Linked DNA regions of Mytilus edulis. The protein of the gene in region 1 purifies or fractionates together with the protein of each later gene. This does not show direct contact. Links are inferred from orthologs where the notes say so. Each region holds a gene or a part of one and is shown on either strand. Other genes may lie near its edges. The genes, in order: zygotic DNA replication licensing factor mcm3-like, cell division control protein 45 homolog and DNA replication complex GINS protein PSF2-like.

Region 1 (7,407 bases):
TGGTCGATGTAGTGTTACCATTCCAGAATGGTGGATGTAGTGTAGTGTTACCATTCCAGAATGGTCAATGTAGTGTTACCATTCCAGAATGGTCGATGTAGTGTTACCATTCCAGAATGGTAAATGTAGTGTTAATTATCATTTAATTGATCTTTCAAAAGTATCCTTAGATTGACTATTCCAGAATGGTAACACAACATTGATAATTATAAAATGACAACAATAATTTAACTTTTCCAGAATGGTAACAGCACATTGACCATTACATAAACAAGTTTGAAAACCACAATGCTTGAGTGTTGTAACCATACATACATGATCACAGTGTTGTGACCATACATACATGATCACGGGTTTAATCACACATACATAACATGATCACAGTGGTGTGACCATACATACATGATCACAGGTGTGTAACCATACATACATAATCACAGTGTTGTGACAAATAAATACATGATCACGGGTTTAACCACACATACATAACATGATCACAGTGGTGTGACTATACATACATAATCACAAAATAGTTTTTGGCCAATGGAAAGCCTTTTTTTAAGAAGAAAACTAATGACAACACTGGAGTAACATCCCATGGTCTAAACCTTTCCATTTTCTAGAATTCTTAATAAACTCTTAATTTAAATAATTTAATGTTACAGGTATCCTTATTAATCAGTCCACCACTAAGGGTCACTTATACATGGTCCCTCAAAATATGACGTCATAGAAAAAAACTGTTGATTGCACCCTAAGAAGTGTAAGGTGTTAAGCAATAATCATAAATCCTTTTTGAGATACGGCGGTACATGTGAGAACCCTCGCCCCCCCCCCTCTTTTCTTTTTTTACAAAAACTCAATAACTCAAAAATAAAATTTTGAATTGTAACCAAAAAGTATACAGATCTTTAGATTAATATAACTAAGAAATGTTTTAGCGATAATCATAAATGGCTATTGAGATACGGCGTGACATGTGAAAAAAACACCCCCTTTTTCAGTTACAAAGTCCCGTAATTTTTATTTTCACCAAAAAGTATACAGATCGTTTGACCATCATAAAAAACAACTATATTAGGTTTCATGCAATTTGTATAAGTCGTTCTCAGGTTACGGTGTGACATGATTACGCCGGACAGACAGATGGACAGACAGACTGACAGATGGTAATTTGTATACCATAATAAATGTAAGTCCCGTCATAGTTTTGACCGGCATATGAAAACAAACACGTCAGAATTGCCATAACATTCAAGTTACTCCAAAAATTAAACCTGCATTTATTTTGTTGATATTTTAATACCTGGCCTAGCTATAGATGCTTTTTTGTGATAATATACATGTACATGGTTCTTTTTCCTGGTTTCGTGAAACTACTATTGCACATTCGAATACCGGTAACAAGTAAGAATATACCGATCTTCTTATGGGACTTTCTTTGTAGTGTTGTTTATATCCTTCCAGATGAACTAGTTACATTGCAGGTTGTGAGTCGGAGTTTTTGTTTTGAACAACTTTTATTTTTCTTAATTGTCAAATTGAGCAAGAGACAACCCGACCAAAGAACAGACAGCAGCCGAAGGCCACTTATGGGTTTTCAATGCAGCGATAAACTCCTGCACCCGGATGCGTGCCTCAGCTGGCTCCTTAACAAAAATATATAGTGATTGTTTTACTTGAACATTTGTAATGTCATTTTTTCTTGTATACTTACAGGTCGATTTTTTATTTTGCCTTTAATAGAGATACTCTAGGGGTATCCCTCGATCTCATCTTCGCTAGCCAAGGGTTACGATCCACTCCCGCTCTCTTCACCCTTGGCGGATTGAGATAAAATTTCGGAGACACAGGGTAAGGATTTTTATTGGTTGCAGTCGAAACTTGCTGCATCCAATCAAAAAGCGCCTTTAACATGATCACCTGTAAATGTGGAAAGTGTTTGTAAACAATTGCCACGTGTTTATTGTGCTACAAGTCTTTACATCCCTAAAAATACGACTATATTTAGTGACAACTTGAATGTTTTTAATCAACTAATAGAAGTTCCTGTGTATGTTTCATGCACAAATGCATGAATGTTGACGTATATTTTCGTTTCCGGCTTTACCAAGTGTGTAGAATCTGGACACTACCGTCTTTTTACCTTCGAATTGAAGAGTTCAAGTGCTACCATTGGTCAAGAATAATGTATTTGGAATGGGCGTGACTTAAATCTTCCGGCAGGTGGCGAAACATTGTTTTCACAAATGTTGGCTCAATCCGCCAAGGGTGGATCGTAACCCTTGGCTAGCGAAGATGCCCTCGATCTAAGTTGCAAAATTCCTGAATTTGTGTTTATTTCAAATACAATATAGAGATCTATATAATAGGACAAACAATATACAATCAATGGGGCGTCGGACTAATGGGGTGTCGGACAAATGGGGAGTCGGACCAGTGGGGTGTCGGACCAATGGGGTGTCGGACTAGTGGGGTGTCGGACCAATGGCGTGTCGGACTAACGGGGTGTTGGAACATCGAGGCTGCCCCTTATTTAGACTATAATTAACTTCTATTGCATGCTTTGTCCATTGATCATGACAGATGTCTTTCAGTTTCAGTCCGAGTTTGAGTGATCTACTGAAGTAAATAACTCGTTCACCGATGAAAGGAATCAAACGATTCATGGTTTTTGTATCCTTTTACTGATATTACTGAGTGATGTCTGATGTCAGTGATAATCAATGAAAAGTAAAATGCTGAACTAAATATTAGTCAGTGATTGACAAATAATAAGTTATTTTTCAGGAAAGTTACAGCATCGTTTTTTAATATACTTACTCCATCATCAAGGAAATCAAGATATTCTCTCTGTATTTCTATTATTCGCTGATCTATTTCTGCTGCCATTTTCCTCGACAATGTTATTTTCCTAGGTTCTTGTTTCTTTGTGGAGGTAATGCTGTAATTTCCCGCCGTTCATGTCACATGGGAGTTATTTTTAGTATATTTATTCCACGTGGTTTCCGTTCGTAACTTCTCTATCTTTTTGTGAAACTGAAAGTAGATTTTTCTGTCTTTCTTTTAAAAATCGTTGGAAAATGTAATGTCTGATCGTTGCAGAATCAAAATATATTTACAGAACCAAAATGTATTTGTATGGAGTGCTAAAGGTATTGAAATAACATCGTGAAAAGTGAAATTAAAAAAAAAACCCACCAAAACACCATAGGCATAGGTGCCAAAAAAGTATAAATTATTTTGTAGTCTTGCACTATAAAATAATGGTATACAAATCCTTGCTATAATTAAATTGAAAGTAAGGACTGGAACCAATAAATCTATCATGCATTAGAACTCAGCTATTAAGATTGCAGAGGAAATATGTAAAATTCCAAGAAGATAAGCCAAAAGTGAACAAGACACCAACACAACAAAAACAACAAAAACAAGGCAAACTTTTCATGTTTGTTTCCCCCCAAATGAGTCTCTAACGCCTCTAGAAGTATGGGGCATTTCATTTATACAAATTTTGCTGTTGGCAATAACAAGTTTGGAAAAGAAATACCACTATATTAGCTGCGGAACCGTAGCTCTTAGGTCCTTATGTTATTTTTCGACTATTTGCGGACATGCGGAACCATAGCTTCCGCAGCTACCACTATATCAGCTAGTCTATATCTTTTCTGGTTGAGTCTTAGTCCAAATAATAATGAGGGGGGGATAGGGGGTCTGTTAACATGTTAACAAATTACCTCAATTTTGGCAAAAACAGTTAACAAAAATTGCAAAAATGCTGATAACAGTTAACAAAGTGGGTTGAAAACAGTTAACAGCTTAAATTGATCTCAGATAACAGTTAACAACACCTTTAAAAGTGCCATAACACGTTAACACAAAAAGGTATTTCCCAAAATATTTTATAGATTCTTGTACATCACAGCTTGACCTCCAAAACTGTGTCTCAGATTTCCAAAATCATCAATAGAACAAATTTTATATCCAATTGAATTTAGTGATCTCTTATGAATTGATGTTGCAAACTTCATTGAAGATTTATGAGAGAATGAAATACAATAGGAAAAATCTGAGACATAGTTTTGGAGGTCAAACTGTGTTGTGCAAGAATCTATAAAATATTTTGGGATGCAATATAACAAAGAAGCTAAATTCATTCAAGTATGGACATCACAATATAGCAACTAATTACATAACAATTAATTATGTACGGTAATAATTATGTCATAATGAAATTATCACAATTTGAAAGATTAATCATTCTTCTTTCTTTTGGTACCTCATTTATAAAATTTAAAGAAGGATCAGGGGTTAAAAATTTTTGTTACAGCTAACTAGCCCAGGACTTATTGGCAGCAGGATTTTACTAGCTCTGTTGGAAGAACTGCTAGTCCATCAAAACTGACCTGCTAGCCCTAGTATGCCTTAAAAATCAAGAGTTTGCTGCAAAATACAAAGTGGGTGTCCTTTGTTTTGAAGGAGACATTATACACTGTATTTAATCATTTTTGTTGATCTGTTGTTTATTCTTTTGGTGCTTAACCTAACTCAGTTGTTCCCATATTCAAAGCAGACTTTTTTTTTGCATGTTTGGCGCAACTAACGGCAATATTCACAGAGCATTGTCTGTCTTTTCATCAGCAACAGCCAACCTTGCCAGGGGAATCATTGTGTCCCAGTTCTGCCAACTTTTCAGGAAGTGAATGCGTGATTTTTTGGCCAAATTGTAAAGATGAAAGAGAAAAAACAATAGTTCAAAGGAAAATGCCGCCAAATAAGCATGAACATGTTTGAGTCTCGCGCTAAAGACTTGGCAGCCCTTCTGTCCTGGACACCATTAATTTTTTTCCGCGGCTTTTCCCTGTCGTATTTAGCATTTTTGTGGGATGAATTTTCAGCCTCGTTACTCCTTTCATCTACCGTTTTTCGTTTTGAAACTGACGAAGTTCCTTGGGTTCCCGTACTAAAATATTAAGAAATATTTTGTTGCATGGTTTCGTGCTCAAGAGCTGTGCAACAAAACAGGTCAATACCAATCAATACATCATACCCCCAAATACCGTTAATTGAAAATATCGGCACGATAAGCAATGTACAATACCCCAAGCCATGGTATGAGAAATCGATATTTAAAGTACGAGAATTGCGATCAACACATGATACCAGGCCACCCAGACATGCCAGAGTTATTTGTTCTATTTTTAAAATATGTACAACAGGACCTGTACAAACCAGTTCAATTCTTGGAATCCCAGAGGATTTAATTTAATCGAATTGGCTAACAGAGAATAGTGATGAAGGGATTTTTTTTTTATTTTGGAAACGTCAAGAAGTATTTTTTTACTAGTCCGTCGGGCATATCAGATTACACATTTTAATTGCCCGAGGTGTAAATGATCTAGTCCCGGGCGTCGGGCTAGTGGATTTTTTAACCCCTGAAGGATGAGTGGAATTACATCAGTTTAAAGATGTCTGATTGCAGGGATGATTCCAGGTGTTTTTAAATGGGTCCCTTGAATATCAAATTGGGAATTTTTATCCCAATTGGGATTTTTTTATGCATACAATCTAAGACGAAATAATATCATTTTCCTGTAAAAACGGAAAATGAATATTAAGTTAATTTCACCTGTATACTGATTGAAGAAATTATTGGATTCAGACTAGGGAAGTTGTAATACATGAATATCATTGCATATGATGCACTATCATCTTAACTTTGGTAAACGAGGCCTATTACAAAAACATATATACCACAACTCGAGTACCAGCTGACATAAACCTATGGCAAGCCGTTTAGCTATTTATTCGAATTTCAAATTATCTCATAATATATAAGATATCTTATGTAATATATAAGATATCTCATATAATATATAAGATATATTGAAGATATCTTGAAGTATATGAAATATCTTACAAATATGTTTTGTATAAGATATCTTCATGATCTTATATAATTTGGATATCATATTAAGAAAATCATATGAAATATCGTATAATTTATATACGATATCTTTAATAATATAGAAGATATCAAATATCGATTTTAAAATATATATCTTACATATACATTATATAAGATATCTTACAAATATACTTTATATAAGATATCTTACAAATATACTTTATATAAGATATCTTACAAATTTACTTTATATAAGATATCTTATATAGTTTATAAGATATCTAATATAATTTATAAGATATCTGATAAAGAAAATTATATGAGATATCTTATAAACTATAAGATATCTCATAAATTATTTAAGATATATCGTGAACTATATAAGATATCTTATAAACTTTATAAGATATATTTCAAACTATATCAAATATCTGATGAACTATTATATAAGATATCTGATAAAGTTTATGAGATATCTTGAAATTAGATTAAATAGCAAAACGGCTTGCCATATTAACCACTGAAATAAATCACCCATTGGGTAATTTTTCAACAGATCATCTTTATAAACTTACCTTGATTTAAATGTACTATTTCAAATAGAACTGGCCAACTGTCGAATTTAGAAAAGCAATTACAAAAGTATATATATTTAATTGATAAGATATTTAAAGCAATTGAACCAGTGAACTTTAAAATTATTTGGATTATTTACATATCTTTTGCAACAGTTCCAAAATGATGACATCGTATTTCAGGGGGGTCTCATTTCACGAATGGTCTATCATCAACAATATTTTCAAAAACGCTCAAACTTTTGTCTTTTGCGGAAAAAAGAGCAAAATATAAAAAAAAATCTTTTACAAAACAAGTTTTAACCACATTACATAACCGGCTCTTCTGGGTAATCTGCTTTTACCATTAAAATTCATTCATCAATGTTCTATCAAAATTTGAATTTGCTCTTTGCCAAGGTCTGTTTTGACACCCATTTTGACAAAAAGCATATTTTTGATCAACGTGCTGAGCAATCTACTTTTACGAAACCAAATTCTCCCATAACATTTTAACTTCAATTGAATCCGGCCGCCAAAATTGTTTACCTAATGTTGACATAATTAAATTAAATCGTTGTTAATAAAATGCGATCATAGTCAGCATTCTTATCCGGATTTTACAACATTTTGACGACAAATTATGAAAAATTATAGTTGCCGTAATCGGTGAATTACCGATTTTTGTTTTATTTTCCTGAATTGGGAATTAATATTTACAAACAATTTTTGGGGGCCGCTGGCCAATTTAAGGGCCGTTAAGCGGCCCTAAACTATATAGTGGAATCATCCCTGGATTGGGGATGAAAAATATTTGTATTGTGCTAATTGTTGACACTTCCTCACTAAAAGTACCAGAAACAATTATGATTGAACAACAACAGTATCATGAATATCTATTCTTGGAAACTGTAATAAAGATGGTAATTAAACTACATTGTGGCT
Region 2 (7,143 bases), on another chromosome or scaffold:
GAAGTAGGATTACTTGTACAGATACAATATCATAAGTATTTAACTTCTTATAGTATAATTTTAAATATGAGATATGTGGCTAAATGGTCTAGGCTTACATCGTTCATACAATATCCACCTTTTCTACCTGGATTAACAAAATCCTCACATTTTACTGAATTTAGATTTTTTTGAATCAAATTCAACAAATAACATACATATATTGACCAAACAATCATCTAAGAGGTACATTATAAAAAAATATTATTGCCGGAGTACAAATGTCTTTTTCTTGTTGTTTGTACATCTGTTTTCTCAGAGGAATCATTGCTGCTACATTGTGTCCTGTATAGAGTTATTTATTTTATACTCTTTCTCTTTAATATTGTTTTTATTTGTTTCAAAAACTGTGAGTCAGCATTAATTTGATTTTCACACTTCTTGCAAATAAGTGGTTTGCTCTAGGTTTTGTGTTTTTGAACATTTTCCAACAATAGAATGAACAATATCCAATTGTTTTAATTAATGAAAAGTGGCATTACAGTACACAGGTATACACCATCAAGCAAACAATTACAGTAACTGTGTATTAATTAATAAATGATATCCTACCTGAAGTATTTTACAGGCACATAGAGCATCAATATCAAAGGCAACTAAAACAAGCACTCTCTGAAAATAAAACAATAAACATTATAAGTTTTTGAACCTTTTAAAGTTCTATAAATAAATAAAGAAAAAAAATATATTCTGGACACGCTTATTGTAGAGACCATTAATGTCATATGCAATATGATGCAGGGTTGTCAAAAGGTGGTTGGTAGGTCAGGGTTGTTACCTCAACAAGTAACTTTTATATTTATTGTTCTACATGTTTCAGTCACTGTCATCACCGATTCAGGATAAAAACAATACAGTTGTGCCTGAAGCAGCTGGCCTGAAGTACAATATCGTGTATGCATAATTTACATCACAATGTTTCCATGGCATGCTGCATAGTGAGTATAACCAGAAAGTAAAAGAATACATGTAGCTGACAACATTTTCTGAGAATGTAGATTGATTACAGGAAGGGCATGAAATATTTAAGTTACAGGTAATAGTAGTAGCTCTGGATGTGCTGCTTTGTTGGTTCTGGAGCTGACTGACATCCCATGATCCATATAAATGGTGCCTCAACTTGTCATTTTTCATATTTCTTTTTATTTTCAAATGGACCTCATCTCATGGAGGCCTTGCAGCACCCAGACTTAAAGTATGCAAATTGTAATGCTGATTTCAGCCTTGAACCTTCCTAGCCAACCATGATAATAATCAGAACACACTCAGCCTTTCAACATTTTTGTGTAGTAAATAAACAAGGTGTTAGATTATATGTTCAATATTATTGACCGGAGCCATTTGAATAAATCAGCTCTCAAAATGCATTGCACTACTTTTTCTCGTTGGTCACATGATTGACAATCTTTCAAAGTGAACGTAAAAATGCCAAAATCTATGGGTCACTGTGAAAACTATTAGTATGAGAAATTAAAGGGTGGCAATTAGATGAAAAAACATACATTAAACGAAAAAAAAATAAAAAAACAAACAGATTGAGACCCGATCCAAGAACATCAAGAAGCAACAAAGCAGTGCATTTGGATGGTCATTTATCCAATTTTGATATGGGACAAGCTCTGATGTCTCATGGCCCCAGTTTGTCTGGCAAAACAGCTGTTGTACATCTGAGCAACTTCACACTACAGGTATTTTTGTAAGGAAATACAAATTGAGATCAATATAAAACACAGCACCCAAGCATACATCATTGTGTCCCAAGGATGATATGGCGGTATGGACATCATGGAAATGTGGCCTTCGCGTCTTGAGAGCCCACAGACATTATCTACATCTACGACATAGCGTCACTCGAAAAGGGTACTTCGACCCATCACTCAAGTATAGTTTAACTTTTGACGTCTTCCAACATGACAATAAACTTTCTATATTTACATAGTTCCAAAATTGTGCTTATAATTTATATACAGGTGTAGGTTAAACAGTTAAAAACATTTTCTACTAGTATCTATTGTTTGTGTTGCTAGCCACTACAGAGGAGCTTGGTGAGTTTGATCTTGAATTCCTCACTGGTCTCCATCTCTTAAAAACACACGATCCCGGAGTCCCGATAAAGGTCCTATCCCGCCTCATTAATGACAAGACATTATTTTGCCTTACAGTTACTGAGTTCATAGACATTGACTGATATAGTAAGAGCAGATTTAAGGTTCATTATAACCTTTTGGCTAAAATGGCCGTTTTTACACCCCAAATTTTACTCTGAGTACAGACTAACCTATACACCTGCAACAGTTTTAAGGGATGGCAGGAACTAGATATATAAATTTTAAATGCATTTTATGTTTCAGAAAATTATAAACTTTTCTAGAATTTGCTATCCATTTTTTTTTCGTTCCTGCAGAAGGTGCAAAAATTAACTAAGTAGTGAAAACGATTGAGAAGCTCCCCTCATATAATCAATGTTGTGAGTAGTATTGATTTAAATGGACAATAGATGGACAATAGACACCTGTAAACAATAGGTGATTTAACAGGTTTAAACTGTGTAACTGAGTGGACCGTATCAAATGAAACTCGGGTGTTTGTTTATTTTGCTATCTTCTGCAGACTGGAAAAAAATGAACATCAAAATCCAGGTAAGTTTTTAATTTTCTGAAACGTAGACTTCATATAACTTTTATATATCTAGTTCCTGCCATGCCTTAAAACTTTCCTGGATGTACCAGTTTGTCTGTACTCATAGTAATTTTGGAGGTGTAAACACGGCCATATTTTTCAATTCCTTATGATGAACCTTAATACTGAATTGAACGATTTTAATTTGAAGGATTGAGTTTGAATGTTTAGTGTCTTGTCTACCTGATGTAAGATCTCGTCATAAAAGCCCTTTCTGAGGTCTTTTATAAACATTTTCAACAATAAAGTAATTTTTCACATTTTAGATTGTGGCGGGGGTTTACACCGGAAGTAAGACAAATTGTTGTCATTTGTAACAATAACTTTCGTTGGTAGAATTTTCAATACGAAAGTAGAAATTGGCCAATCATAACCTAGTTAAGAAAAGTCTATTTTTAGCCCCAAAAGCTGAATCAGTTTTGCGTTTTTCAGGAAAAGAATATACTAAGACTTATTGACAACATAATTCACACTGGTTATTTACTTTCGATTTATTTCCTACTGAGTCATTTTGTTGAATTTAGAATATTACACGGTTAAATCCAAAGAAAAACCAAACAATACAAAAATGGTAATGAAAACATCAAACTACATACATAAGTTGATAGTTAAAAAAATACAGCAAATTCATATAATAATTAGATTAAGTAATATGAGACAGGCATTACCAGTGAATGGGGACGAAGTTTATACGATTTTTTTCATTCAAACATGTTAAAAAGAGAAACGGAAATACCGTAACATTTCTGATTTTGGTTCTGCTGTTAGGGATTTTAGTTGTGACGTTATTTAAGTTATGACGTCACATTCAATTTAAACAAAGAAACTCTGTCGTCAGGTAATGTTTTTTTCATAACAAACAATTTTAAAAAGTCTGACGATTTTGAGTTCATTAGTAGAATGAAAATTTCTGGAAATTTTACCTGATTTTTTTTGGGGGGGGGGGGGGGGGGATTTTTCTTCTGTAATAGGGGACTTCGTCTCCATGTAAATCTTTAAATTGTTTAAAACAAAATTAGATATATCATTGTGTGATGTGTTTTCATTCTAATAACAATTTTCACTGCTGATGGTTTTCACTGTTGAGTTTTAATTCAGGTGTTTACTCAAATTTAAAACGCATGACTTGTAGATTGATTTTAGGTATCTATATTTTTTGACAAGGCTTACTAAGATTTTTTACTGTTTCCAATTACTCTGCGATTTTTGTATGTCTAAAAAACGCCGTCATATGTTTTCGTATGAACATGATGAAATAAAAATTGGATCAGTACATAAACAGGAAATGACTATATAAAATCCGGAAATCAGTATTTTCTTTTAAAAGTCGTAGTTCTGGTGATTGCTTGAATCATGAAAAAGGTTATTTAATACTTTTCAGTACTAAAAATTACTAGCAAATAGTTTTAGATTGGTGTTTCTTGTGCTGAAATTGTTAGATTTTGATTAATTTCAGATTGGCACCTGGTTTGTACTTGTAAAATACATGATTTAAAAAAAAAATAAAATGCAGTTTTCAAAATTTAGGATTAAATATAAAAAGTTAAGACTGTTTTCATCTTCATGTATCAAGGATGTATAAAAAGAATTGTCAATAAAATATTGAAAAAAATAATTTTGAACAGCCATTTTATATATAAGAACCATGATAACCTTAACTCCCTGGTTTGTAATAAATTACCAAAAAACCACATGACAGTCACATGTCTTGAACACCGTGTATCATCAGTCCAGCGGATAAAGGTACTAACCAAGCGGGCATGATCGATTTTGACCTCATGCGGTAACGAAAATCTTTGTTTTGTTCACATAATATCAATTTGTACTTCAATCTAAACATAATAGTTGTTTCAAGAAATGATTTGGTCATAGGTTGATGATATTAGAGATGTCTCATTATTTTTGCCAAAGCAAGAATAATTACAAAAAACATGTGCAAATACTTGTCAAAGAAGTTGGCACTCGTCTCATCCGATATAATTCTATTTCCAATGCAACTCTTTTTCTGATAGAAGGCCATTGTGTGTCTGCAATATTAAGTGTTTCAATAATTGGCATTGAAATCTTTCATGCATACTTTTTTTTCGATATTTTATTCCGAAATGAAGCGTTGTGTACAGTGTTTAGCTGACCACATGAATCCTTCTGTACGATGCATCTATATAGTTAAGTTGCTGTACACCGTACACAAAAACTAAATTTTCATACTCGTTTATTACCCAAACATTTTCAAGGAATGAGTAATCACAGGTAGGTTTAATATTGGTAACTATTACTTTTGCCCTGTATAAGCTTTCTTTCAGATAAAACATGTAAATGTCTCGACAATTGTATCGAAATTGAAAGTTGGTGGTGACACTCACAACTATTTGCGCATTTACAAGTTGATTGTTCTTATTAAAATATCAAAGTTGTCTTATAAATAGAAAAAAATCGATGCAAAAATTATTTTGGAGCAGGAATTTCAGATGTTGAGAAATTTTGTACACTGAATGTTGATAAAACAATTCAAAGATTTTCGTTACCATGTCAGTTCAAAATTGATCATGCCCGCTTGGTTAGTACCTATATAGGCTGTACGATGATACATGGTGTTGAAGATCTGATGTGGGACAGGCAGACAATATGGCTATAATTCATGTAATCCCTCAGAATTTTTCTGAACAACTATTCTATTATGATCCGTATTATTGACATTAAATAAGAATGACTGAACAGGCAAGTTTAATTTAATTAGTTCTTACGTTTTTAAAAGCGACTTTGAATTTGTCACACATTTGTCATGTTGAAGTGTGGTTGTTGTTCCAAATATAGAAACCGAAAAACACGCCACAATGTACGTGTATGCCGTCTAAACCCACGAAATGTGGTTGATACCAAAACATATGACATACGAAAACATATGACATATAGTTGAAAAACCTTTAAACATTTATAGGACAACAGTAGCATGAGTAGCACTGTCATGACAGTGGAAACATTCCAAGATTTTGACATACTGCCAATATACAAAAGATTTTTTAATATTACAAATAAAAAATGATATAATGCCAGATACAATAGAAGACTTTTGAATTCATGCATTTTCCCGTAATTGTTTTATGTGTCACAGTAAGAAATGATCGTTTATGCTGATTGACCACAGTTCAACCGTTGTAACTCTTTCATAAAAAAACCAACTCAAGACTGGTGAATCATGTGAATGTAGACAGCCATGACAGATAGAGTGTAATGCATGTAAATTAATTATTATTCATCGAATCGATAGAGAAACTGATTCAAAATTTGGCTAACAGAAAATTAAACTAAAAAATAAAATGAAAAAAAAAACCAAGACCATGATTAACAAAATAGAAAATTATTAATATGGATTAATTTGACAATTTAGAATACACATGATACATAGACATGTATAAAAGATGGTAATATCAGACATAATGTATTGTATTATTAACAGATAATTCATATAATTTTTTTATTTTCCAGTTTGGTAGATTTGGAGGTAACATATTTGGGCCTGAGCTGGGTGGAGGTCTGGGTGGATTTAAACAGACATATAGATGTTATTCTGTGACCATGTTAGATAACAGAGAAGACGTTGAGAGAGGTGGAAAAAGTAAGATAAACAAATATAATTATACTTACAGATTATCTCCCTTTATTTGGGTGACAAGATCTACGATCTTTGATTTATATATAATAAAAAACTTTCAATAAGCAAAATATCTTTCCTTGTGTAGTTTGGTCAGGCCAGAGAAAGCAGTTATTTTGCAGTTCATTTCTTTTAGACAATAAACACAATTTACAAAAAATTGAACCTGCTCCATTCTAAAAAAGATTTTTTTACAGTGCAGTGTACTTCTTTTTGGGACAAATTTTAAATTTATACAGACAAAATTATCAAAACCTGTTACCTAAAATGAGAATAATTTTATAATAAGGGGATCTATAATTCAGATTGTTAGCTTCAGATATACTATAGTTTTAACACCAAAGAACTTTTTCACTCTTGAAACAAAATGCATGACTCACAATGTTTTGACACATAGTTTCATTCACCTATTTGATATTCAATGTATTAATAATATAAAAGAAGGAGTATTTATGAAAAAAGTTATGGACTATTTGTGGACAAAAAAAATCAAATAATGATAACTGTAACGGTAACTGTGTCCCCAGACCATATACTGAGGAATCAGAAATATTGCCTAGAAGTTTTTTCATTTTTGAAACATTCATATCAAATATCACTAATAATTCTTGAACAATAGTTTATGACATTGAATTTATGTTCCTCAATTGACAATTATTATATTGCATTAGATCTGGATGGAATGAATTTAAGGAGATCTATCTATAGTATATGACAGTGACATAGCAACCTAGCACAAATCATCAAATAAATATAGATTCTATCACTGCATC
Region 3 (7,966 bases), on another chromosome or scaffold:
TGTCCTAGATAGTGACCGACGATCTAAAACTAAAAGTACGATTTATATTTTTTTGACATCAGAAAAACAACCGATGGGAATTTGATTATAAACGATCATTTCAATCGGCAATCGGTTCTTAATGAATACGCTGACTTCAATTGCCAGTTACACAACAGTAAGAAGCAGTATTCAGCACATGTCATCCCCCATTCCCATTCTCAGTTAAATGTTTCTCTCATTGCATGTAAACTAGCAACCTGCCCGAAACAAAAATAATTAAAAGTAGGAAATACAGGCCAAGTCACCAATATATAACAGAAAACTTTACATATATATTCTCAATTCTGAATAAATTTAGATTTAGCTTCATCACTAAATCAACTTTCAATTAACAGCTGATAATTTCATAGTGAATGGAAATACTCTCAGAGCCCTTCAAAACTCCATAGATGTTAGGCATGTCTAGTTGCATTGACACACTGAGATGCTGGCCTACAATTAAATGCCAGCATACAAAATGTGCCAAATAACCAAACAAATCAGAAAAGAACTTCCTTATCTTAACTTAGAATTATATGCAAAAAGAACAACAAAATGTGCCACATAACCAGCAAATGACTCAAAAGAACAATTTATATTACCATTATCAATACCAAATTTATCTGATCAGAAATTTAACTTTTAAGCAGATTGGATATTGTTTCTGATGATACCTGTACCCAAAAAGACATTTACAGAAATTCAAACAGATCCCTTGGGAAAAGCTAAAGGGTATTGGGAATAACAAATTCTAAATTCATAAATATATTAGAGGTATTACAGTAACAACAGTCTTGCATCACATTTGGAACAAGTACAGTCATGTATGTAATTAGTCCGAGATTACTCTGACGTCAAACGGCTGTTTTTCCAGACAAGCTAGGATGGAATATTTGTCCGTCCTAATGAATGCACTGCTAATTGGCTTCTGGAGGAGAATGACCGCCTTAGATCTATATAAATTGATCAATTTGTTCTTTGTGTACCTGCCACCCTTTACTTTCTCATATTTGGACGGTTTTCACAGTGACTGATCGATTTTAGCTATTTAACTTTCATACTTCTACTTTGTTATGACCACCTTCAACATGATGAAGTTTAGGTTACTTTTACTTGGGGGTTCTGATCCCGGATTCTGCTCACTGTTTTGTCATATTCCTGTATCCAGCTCACACTATGTACATAAGCAATTCTCATTCTTTTGTAATTTCCCTATATCTGGCTAGACTTCATTTCCCTTTTTCACAGGGGTACCACGATTTCCCGAGAAATACAAGAACAACGTAATTTCCCCAAAACAAACTGATACATGTATATCCTGAAAACAAGATTTTTTATGCTTATATCTTGAATGCAAATTCCTTGTTGAAAACAATATGTCGTATATCATATTTTGCATACAACACATACAAATCAAGTTCTTAAAGTGAAATTGCACTTTTAGTGAGTAACAAATATCTTTACTATTTTTTAATATTGTTAAAAGTAGCATAACACTATAAGAAAAAAGCATAATACCATATAACAAAGGCACTGGCTACGGTTACATGGAAATGTAACAATAATAAAAATATTATTGTTACATTGGAGACTAAATGCCGGAATGCATGGTTGGGTAAGGACCTGTTTAATTACGAATGTAACAATAATTATTGAGGCTACGGTTACATGAAAAAAAGCAATGTACGATGGGACTAGTAATATGTTCTAAATAATAAAAGTTGAGGACATTTATAACATACAATTTATTTACTGTAATTCGTTATAATTTACAATGACCATTTCTACAAATCCAGTAAGTTGTTTTTAAAGTCCGACACATTTTTGATGAACGAAATTACGTCCTCCACGGATACGTGTACATACAGAATTTCTTAGTATTTAAGTTACAGTTAACAAACTTTGCTTTTGATTATCAATTTGCGTCAAGTTATAAAGCTGTATGAAATGTATGTCTTGATATTGTTTCATTTTCGTTTAAAACGCATCCCAAGTTTTATTTTTTTCACCATAAACAAAATTTGGTCCAAAGTATAATGACAGTAATAAGAGTAGGTGTGCAGTTAAATACTTTAAAAAAGTGAAACCATTGAACTATATTTTTCGCCTTTGAAGTCACACTCCTAATCTTGAGTAGTATCTTTAAGAACACCAAAACCATTAATACGTAGTAAAACTATTCAAGTTGTACACTATTTGTTGAATAATAATATTCTATTATTTATCAGTATTAAATTACAAGTATTGTTTAGTACATATGAAAGAATGAAGCAATACAACTATAGAATATTTAAGTTTGATCAATCTAGCGTACATTGCTGTTTTTCATGTAACAATAACGTAATGTAACCGTAGCCTCAGTAGTTATTGTTACATTTGTAATTAATCGGTTCCTCACCCAACTTTGCATTCCGGCAATTAGTCTCCAATGTAACAATAATATTTTTATTATTGTTACATTTCCATGTAACCGTAGCCAGTGCCTATAACAAATCTTTGTTACATGTATCTGTATATATCAGTTTGTTTTGGGGATATTATAAAGGTTTTTGTATTTCTCGGGAAATCTTGGTACTGTTTTCACAGCACAATTATTACATGTCTTGATAAGAAAAATAACGGCAATCCAGCATCACGTTTAGATCCCAATGAGACCCACTTTATACTATAGTACATTGCTTTGAGATTTTTAGGAATATTTTAGTTAGTCTGTTAGACTGTAGAGATGACTTTGACATGTCTTAAGTATTTTTGTAAGTCCAGCTGGGCCTGTGGTTAAGTGTGAAGACTGGTAACCAAACATAGACTTATGCATTATGGAATAATTATGGCACCAAATAAATGCCTTCAAATTATGCTATAACAAAAATGTCATGCATAAGAAGAGCGTTCTTATTGTGTTATTACTAACACCAATCAGGTATATCTTATCCTGTGTAAAGTTGGGGACAACAGATATTTCCTCTTTTTCAGCAAGAAATTCCACTTCAGCCGGATCCATTCAAGATTTTCGCGGGAGTTACGGTCAAGGTGACGTGAATCGGCGTTGTTCGAATGAATTTGCAGCTAAGGGAAAAGCCCTTCTGTATGTACTATAGTACAAACGCTTTTATGAGACAGACTGTGCAATCGGGCAGTATGGCTGTCCTTCTGCTGTCCCGAAAAGCAGGACTTGCAAAACAAGTAGCAAAAGGAGTAAAGGTCTTTTAAATTATTCATTGCCCTTGCATTCAACGTTTTTGTGACATTTTTCTATTAATTCTTGAGAGTCAGACCTCTGACATTGGCTTGAGTAAATAGGAAATTGACATCCTTGTCAATCTGTTTTTTTGACAGTTAATGAGTTATACGTTCGTATAATTTTGCTTGATCTCTTATCCTTGTCGCTTAAGTAACACGAAGAGGTAGTTACATGTGAAAGCATATGAAGTATGTAAAGATAGCATTTACACAGATTATGACTTTATGAGTTAAAGGACAAAAGTCGAAAAGAGACCTTGCAACCTAAATTCCCCCATATGAGGCAGGTGCTCCCAAGGTTATTGGTTTTTAAGAGGCTTTTATGTCAATAAGGCCATAAGTTGAATAGGCCCTATTATAAAAACGCAGTGGCAATTTTGCGGGCTCTGACAAAATAGCCTCTATGGGGCTATTTAAGTATTTTACTTGCTCCGACAATATAGCCTCCTTGACGCTAATTTGTGGCTCCGGCAAAACAGTGATCATGATAATATGGACAAATATAAACCTTTTTTTTTCTTATTTTGTCGGTCTTAAGATTAATAAGAAGTATATACACAGTGTTGCAGCTAGCATGAAATGGAGGGGCGCTGCGCCCCGCCACCGAAATTATGCGCCCTTCGCCTTTTTTAAGCGCCCCTGCGCCCCTCTGTGCCCTTTTGAAAAAAAGTTTAAAAAACGATATTTTTTCATCATATCGTCGCCATTTTGTTGAGTTCTTTATACACACACTTCATTAAGACAACAGATTAAAATTGTTGACACTTGTTACCTGTATATAATCACCTATTTGATTGGAGTCAATTACTTAATCAGGTGAAATTTACGACCCTGTCTAATCCCTTTGCCCTGAAGCACCAAACATCAAAGTTAAATGAATTGATTATTTTAACACCTGACGATGCAAAATAGAATGTATAAAATAAATGTGAACGGTGTTCATTTCTACTGTACTTGTTATTTATAAAATAACGTTCATTTAAAAAGAATCATTCCAATAGGTCAACACGCAAAATGCCGACGAAAAAAAGAAAAATTGACCAACTCGGAAATGACAAGAAGAAAATATCAAAGACTTGCCAGTCTATTACATCTTTTTTCAAGAATAATGACCATCAAAAGTAAAAAAAAATTTAATTCTTTAACTTTATGAAAAATCGAGAAGAAGAAAGGTTTCTATCAAATATCGCAATTGTTCTTCTATTGTAAATTCCGCCGATTACAGAGCACTCGAAAGTCCGATTTTTATATCATTTTTTCTTAAATTGAAGTCCGTTTTGACTAACTTTAATATTGATATAATTAAATACGCTCAACATGAAGTAAACGGAGATGCTTGTTGAATTGATAATACACTTACAAAATTGAAATAATTTATTATTGTGCCGATTACGGAGCTCTCGAAAGTCCGATTTTTGTATCAATTTTCTTATTGAAATCACAGGCACTTGTTTCTATCCATTGGAAGACCCCCATCAACGTATATTTCCGTAAATATACGTTGATAGGGGGTCTTCCAATATGAATAGAAACAAGTGCCTGTGATTGAAATCCGTTTTGACAAACTTATTGATTTTATAAGATACGCTCAACATGAAATATACGGAGATGCTTGTTGAATTGAACAGACAACAGTGAAACAATGTATGGTTATACAGAGATAGAAACTCTCCTTATTCAATAACAGGACTTTATAGCTCTTGTATCATCAGCAGAACTTACAGATCATTCCTTATCTAGTCTGCTAGAGCTATTTCATTCACCTTGTCATTAGGATAAAAACCTTTTATCTTTATGTACCCTCTTGTTGCAAAACTATTCAGTGTTGCAATATGACATGTACAACCACTCAGTACAGCAGAGGTGGAGAAAATATTCTCTCAGGTCAAATTGATAAAGACAAGTCACAGGGCAAACTTGAAAACACAGACATTAACAAAAATATTAACTGTAAAATTAAACTGTGATGAAACTAATGTGTGACAACCTTCTTCAAAAAGAAAAACAGAAGATTTGTCATTGTTGTTTAATATTTATTTGCATTTGAACTCTTCTTTGAAAAAATCTGTAGTTCTGAAAGAGAAATGAATATAGTAATGTCTATTATTGCTATCAGTTTGATTTTAACTTATATGTTCTAAATAAATGATTTTTAAACTTGTATATAATAGCTATTTAACTAAGCTACATGCTTGCTAAAAATATGTCTTTATGTGGTAATATTAAGTATTTGATTTTTTCAGTGAGAACGCGTTAAAGTGCCCTTTTTAAAAACACGCCCCTCTATTTTCAAATCCTAGCTGGAACACTGTATACATGTAGATTAAGAAAGAAACATGCACTTATTAAAATTAGAAATCTTTCAGCAAATAAGTCTTCTCCTAAATATTTTAATAATATAAGCGCATATTAAATTCGATATTCTTTAATTTAATAAGAACTCTCTAAAACATTGTAAAACATGTTTTAAAACATTTTTAAAAGTATACATATTAAAATTGATACTAGTATTCTTTTATTAAAATTTGCTTTGATGAAAATACTGCATGTATTTGCCTTAAACATTTCAGATTTAAAAGAAAAAACAAGAAAGTTAATTGTTTTTAACAGCTTGCCCCCTTGATCTTACTTTATTTTGCATTGTGTATATAAGAAAAACACAATGTGGGCTGGAATATAATATTCCTATACGGTCAGTGCAGTAGAACAGCGGGTGATTGTGATAGCGCTGAAAAGCGCAGCACTAAAACGGCCTGGGGAGAACACTGCTGACCCCATCCCATGTCTATCTGTGATATTGGTTACAAAGGCTAATAAATGAGGCCATACTTATTGTATTGCTTCAAAAAAGGTAGAGAAATTGCAAATCCTTTTTATATGAATTCTTATAGCTTTTCTTACTAAAAGAAGACTATATGATGGTCCCTTAAAGAAGTCATTAGACTTTGGATGGCCACAACCCTAGCACATGTAACAGTAAATTTGGTCCAGTACCGTAATAAAAAATTTCAGCCAGATTTTTCTTCCAAGGTAATCAAGTCTATGACCATAATTTTATTAGGAATGTGTGTCTAGCAATTATATTCCTAAGAAAAGTTTTATTTGTCCATATTATCATGATCATGTTTTTTCTATGAAAAAGGTCCCGCTTTATACAATACTAAAAAGCACTTTTACAACCAGACTGACAAAGACTATTTTATTTTGCACCTTAGGTTACTTGAACAAACATAAACATTCTAAAATATAAAATTTTATTTTATTTACAGTGTTTACTGAATCATGAATTCACCATATGTTCTTCAAAAGCACAAAGACATTACCATCTCAAGACATGCCAACACATACAATGGCGTACAATTTCTACAACTAGATGTGTAGGAAATGATAAGCTAGCTGAGACGTCTGATCCAAAGAATGAAGTTGTAACTGCACCTGTTCTAGAAGTAGAAGAGGAGGAAGATTTGTACAAGTAATTTCTAATTAAATGTTTGCTACAGATTTGATTTATTTTGTATTAAGTTTTAATTCCTTATTGACTATTGTGTTGACACAGAGTAAAATGCAGGATATTTACAAAAAGAAATGCTAGATTCTGTAATACACAAATGTACTTTAAAATTTGTTAGTTAATACCAGCTTTTGCAGTATCTTTCAAATCAATAATTGGTCCAACATCTACCTCAGCAAATGTCAGTACATATGTATTTTTTCTGGTATTTAAAAAAAGGATTGATGAAACCACTTATGACATACAAAACTTTTTCCGGAAACGAAAGTTCTACATTGACCAGTCAGGGGACCTAATGAAATAAGTGATTTTTAAATCACTTATTTGAGTATCAAATTCGAAGTTTTGTCACAAATTGTGATTTTGTAGTTTTACCAAAATTTTTCAACACATCTATAATACTAAAATTACGAGGTCCAATTTGTCAGCCGTCATCACATAAAAACGACGAATCACAGAATTCAACTTTATATATAACTAATATAGTACAAAGGTGTAGATTAAAAATTACACCACTCCAGGCCCTTTTGTTTTCCACGTAATTAATATTGCCAATAATGAAGAAGTTCCGGGTCGAGTCCGCTACCGATACCAATAGTATATTTACCTGTTACTTATTACAGTATCTGTACGTTCCGCATCTGACAGGCGCACCACCAAACGTTGTATTCAGGATTAATATGCTATATACACGGGTCATAACCACAGGGTTGACACTACTAAATTGTCAAATTGTTACCTATTGTAGTATTTTAATCAGTTAGACTTTCTAAGATAACAATACGAATACTAAAAATCTGGACTAAAAATAAGGCGTATAGGTACAGTTTTCAATTTGTTAGTGGGCATGACGTAAAACAGTGAGGCAAAGAATTCAACTTTACTTATAACTTATATAGGACAATGCTGTTGATTAAAAAATACTCCATTCCAGGACCTTTTGTTTTCCAAATAATTAATATTACCAATAATTGATAAGTTCCAGTTCCACGGGTTCAAACAGAGACTTGAAAGCAGAGAAAAACTGTGTATCTTATAATCGGCATGACTTTAACAGATGACAATACTAATACTAAAATAAGGCTTGCGCATAGTTATATACTTTAATTCAATCACGGACCCGTGATATCACGGGTGTGTTCTAGTAGGTTTAAAAAATATCTTTTCATTAGTAAAATTGAAAAAAATGATTTT

What was found.
Region 2: the proteins of zygotic DNA replication licensing factor mcm3-like (region 1) and cell division control protein 45 homolog purify together in Drosophila melanogaster (affinity purification with western blotting; 5 studies listed by BioGRID, with this or other methods). This does not show direct contact. The link is inferred for Mytilus edulis from reciprocal best matches to the Drosophila melanogaster genes Mcm3 and Cdc45.
Region 3: the proteins of zygotic DNA replication licensing factor mcm3-like (region 1) and DNA replication complex GINS protein PSF2-like purify together in Drosophila melanogaster (affinity purification with western blotting; 3 studies listed by BioGRID, with this or other methods). This does not show direct contact. The link is inferred for Mytilus edulis from reciprocal best matches to the Drosophila melanogaster genes Mcm3 and Psf2.

What each region holds. Positions count from the first base shown.
Region 1 is NC_092355.1:48,373,375-48,380,781, forward strand, and holds the start of zygotic DNA replication licensing factor mcm3-like, read right to left. Parts: upstream 3,043-7,407; 5' UTR 2,893-3,042; coding exon 2,824-2,892; intron 1-2,823. Other genes in the region: tRNA-splicing endonuclease subunit Sen34-like, read left to right, coding at 3,089-3,155. UniProt on the Drosophila melanogaster protein: Acts as a component of the Mcm2-7 complex (Mcm complex) (Mcm complex) which is the putative replicative helicase essential for 'once per cell cycle' DNA replication initiation and elongation in eukaryotic cells.
Region 2 is NC_092349.1:77,089,019-77,096,161, forward strand, and holds the start of cell division control protein 45 homolog, read right to left. Parts: upstream 3,039-7,143; 5' UTR 2,953-3,038; coding exon 2,902-2,952; intron 652-2,901; coding exon 592-651; intron 1-591. Other genes in the region: ubiquitin recognition factor in ER-associated degradation protein 1-like, read left to right, coding at 3,287-3,289, 6,205-6,334.
Region 3 is NC_092348.1:80,010,974-80,018,939, reverse strand, and holds the start of DNA replication complex GINS protein PSF2-like, read right to left. Parts: upstream 3,081-7,966; 5' UTR 3,023-3,080; coding exon 2,933-3,022; intron 1-2,932. Other genes in the region: transmembrane protein 143-like, read left to right, coding at 3,133-3,222, 6,531-6,733. UniProt on the Drosophila melanogaster protein: The GINS complex plays an essential role in the initiation of DNA replication.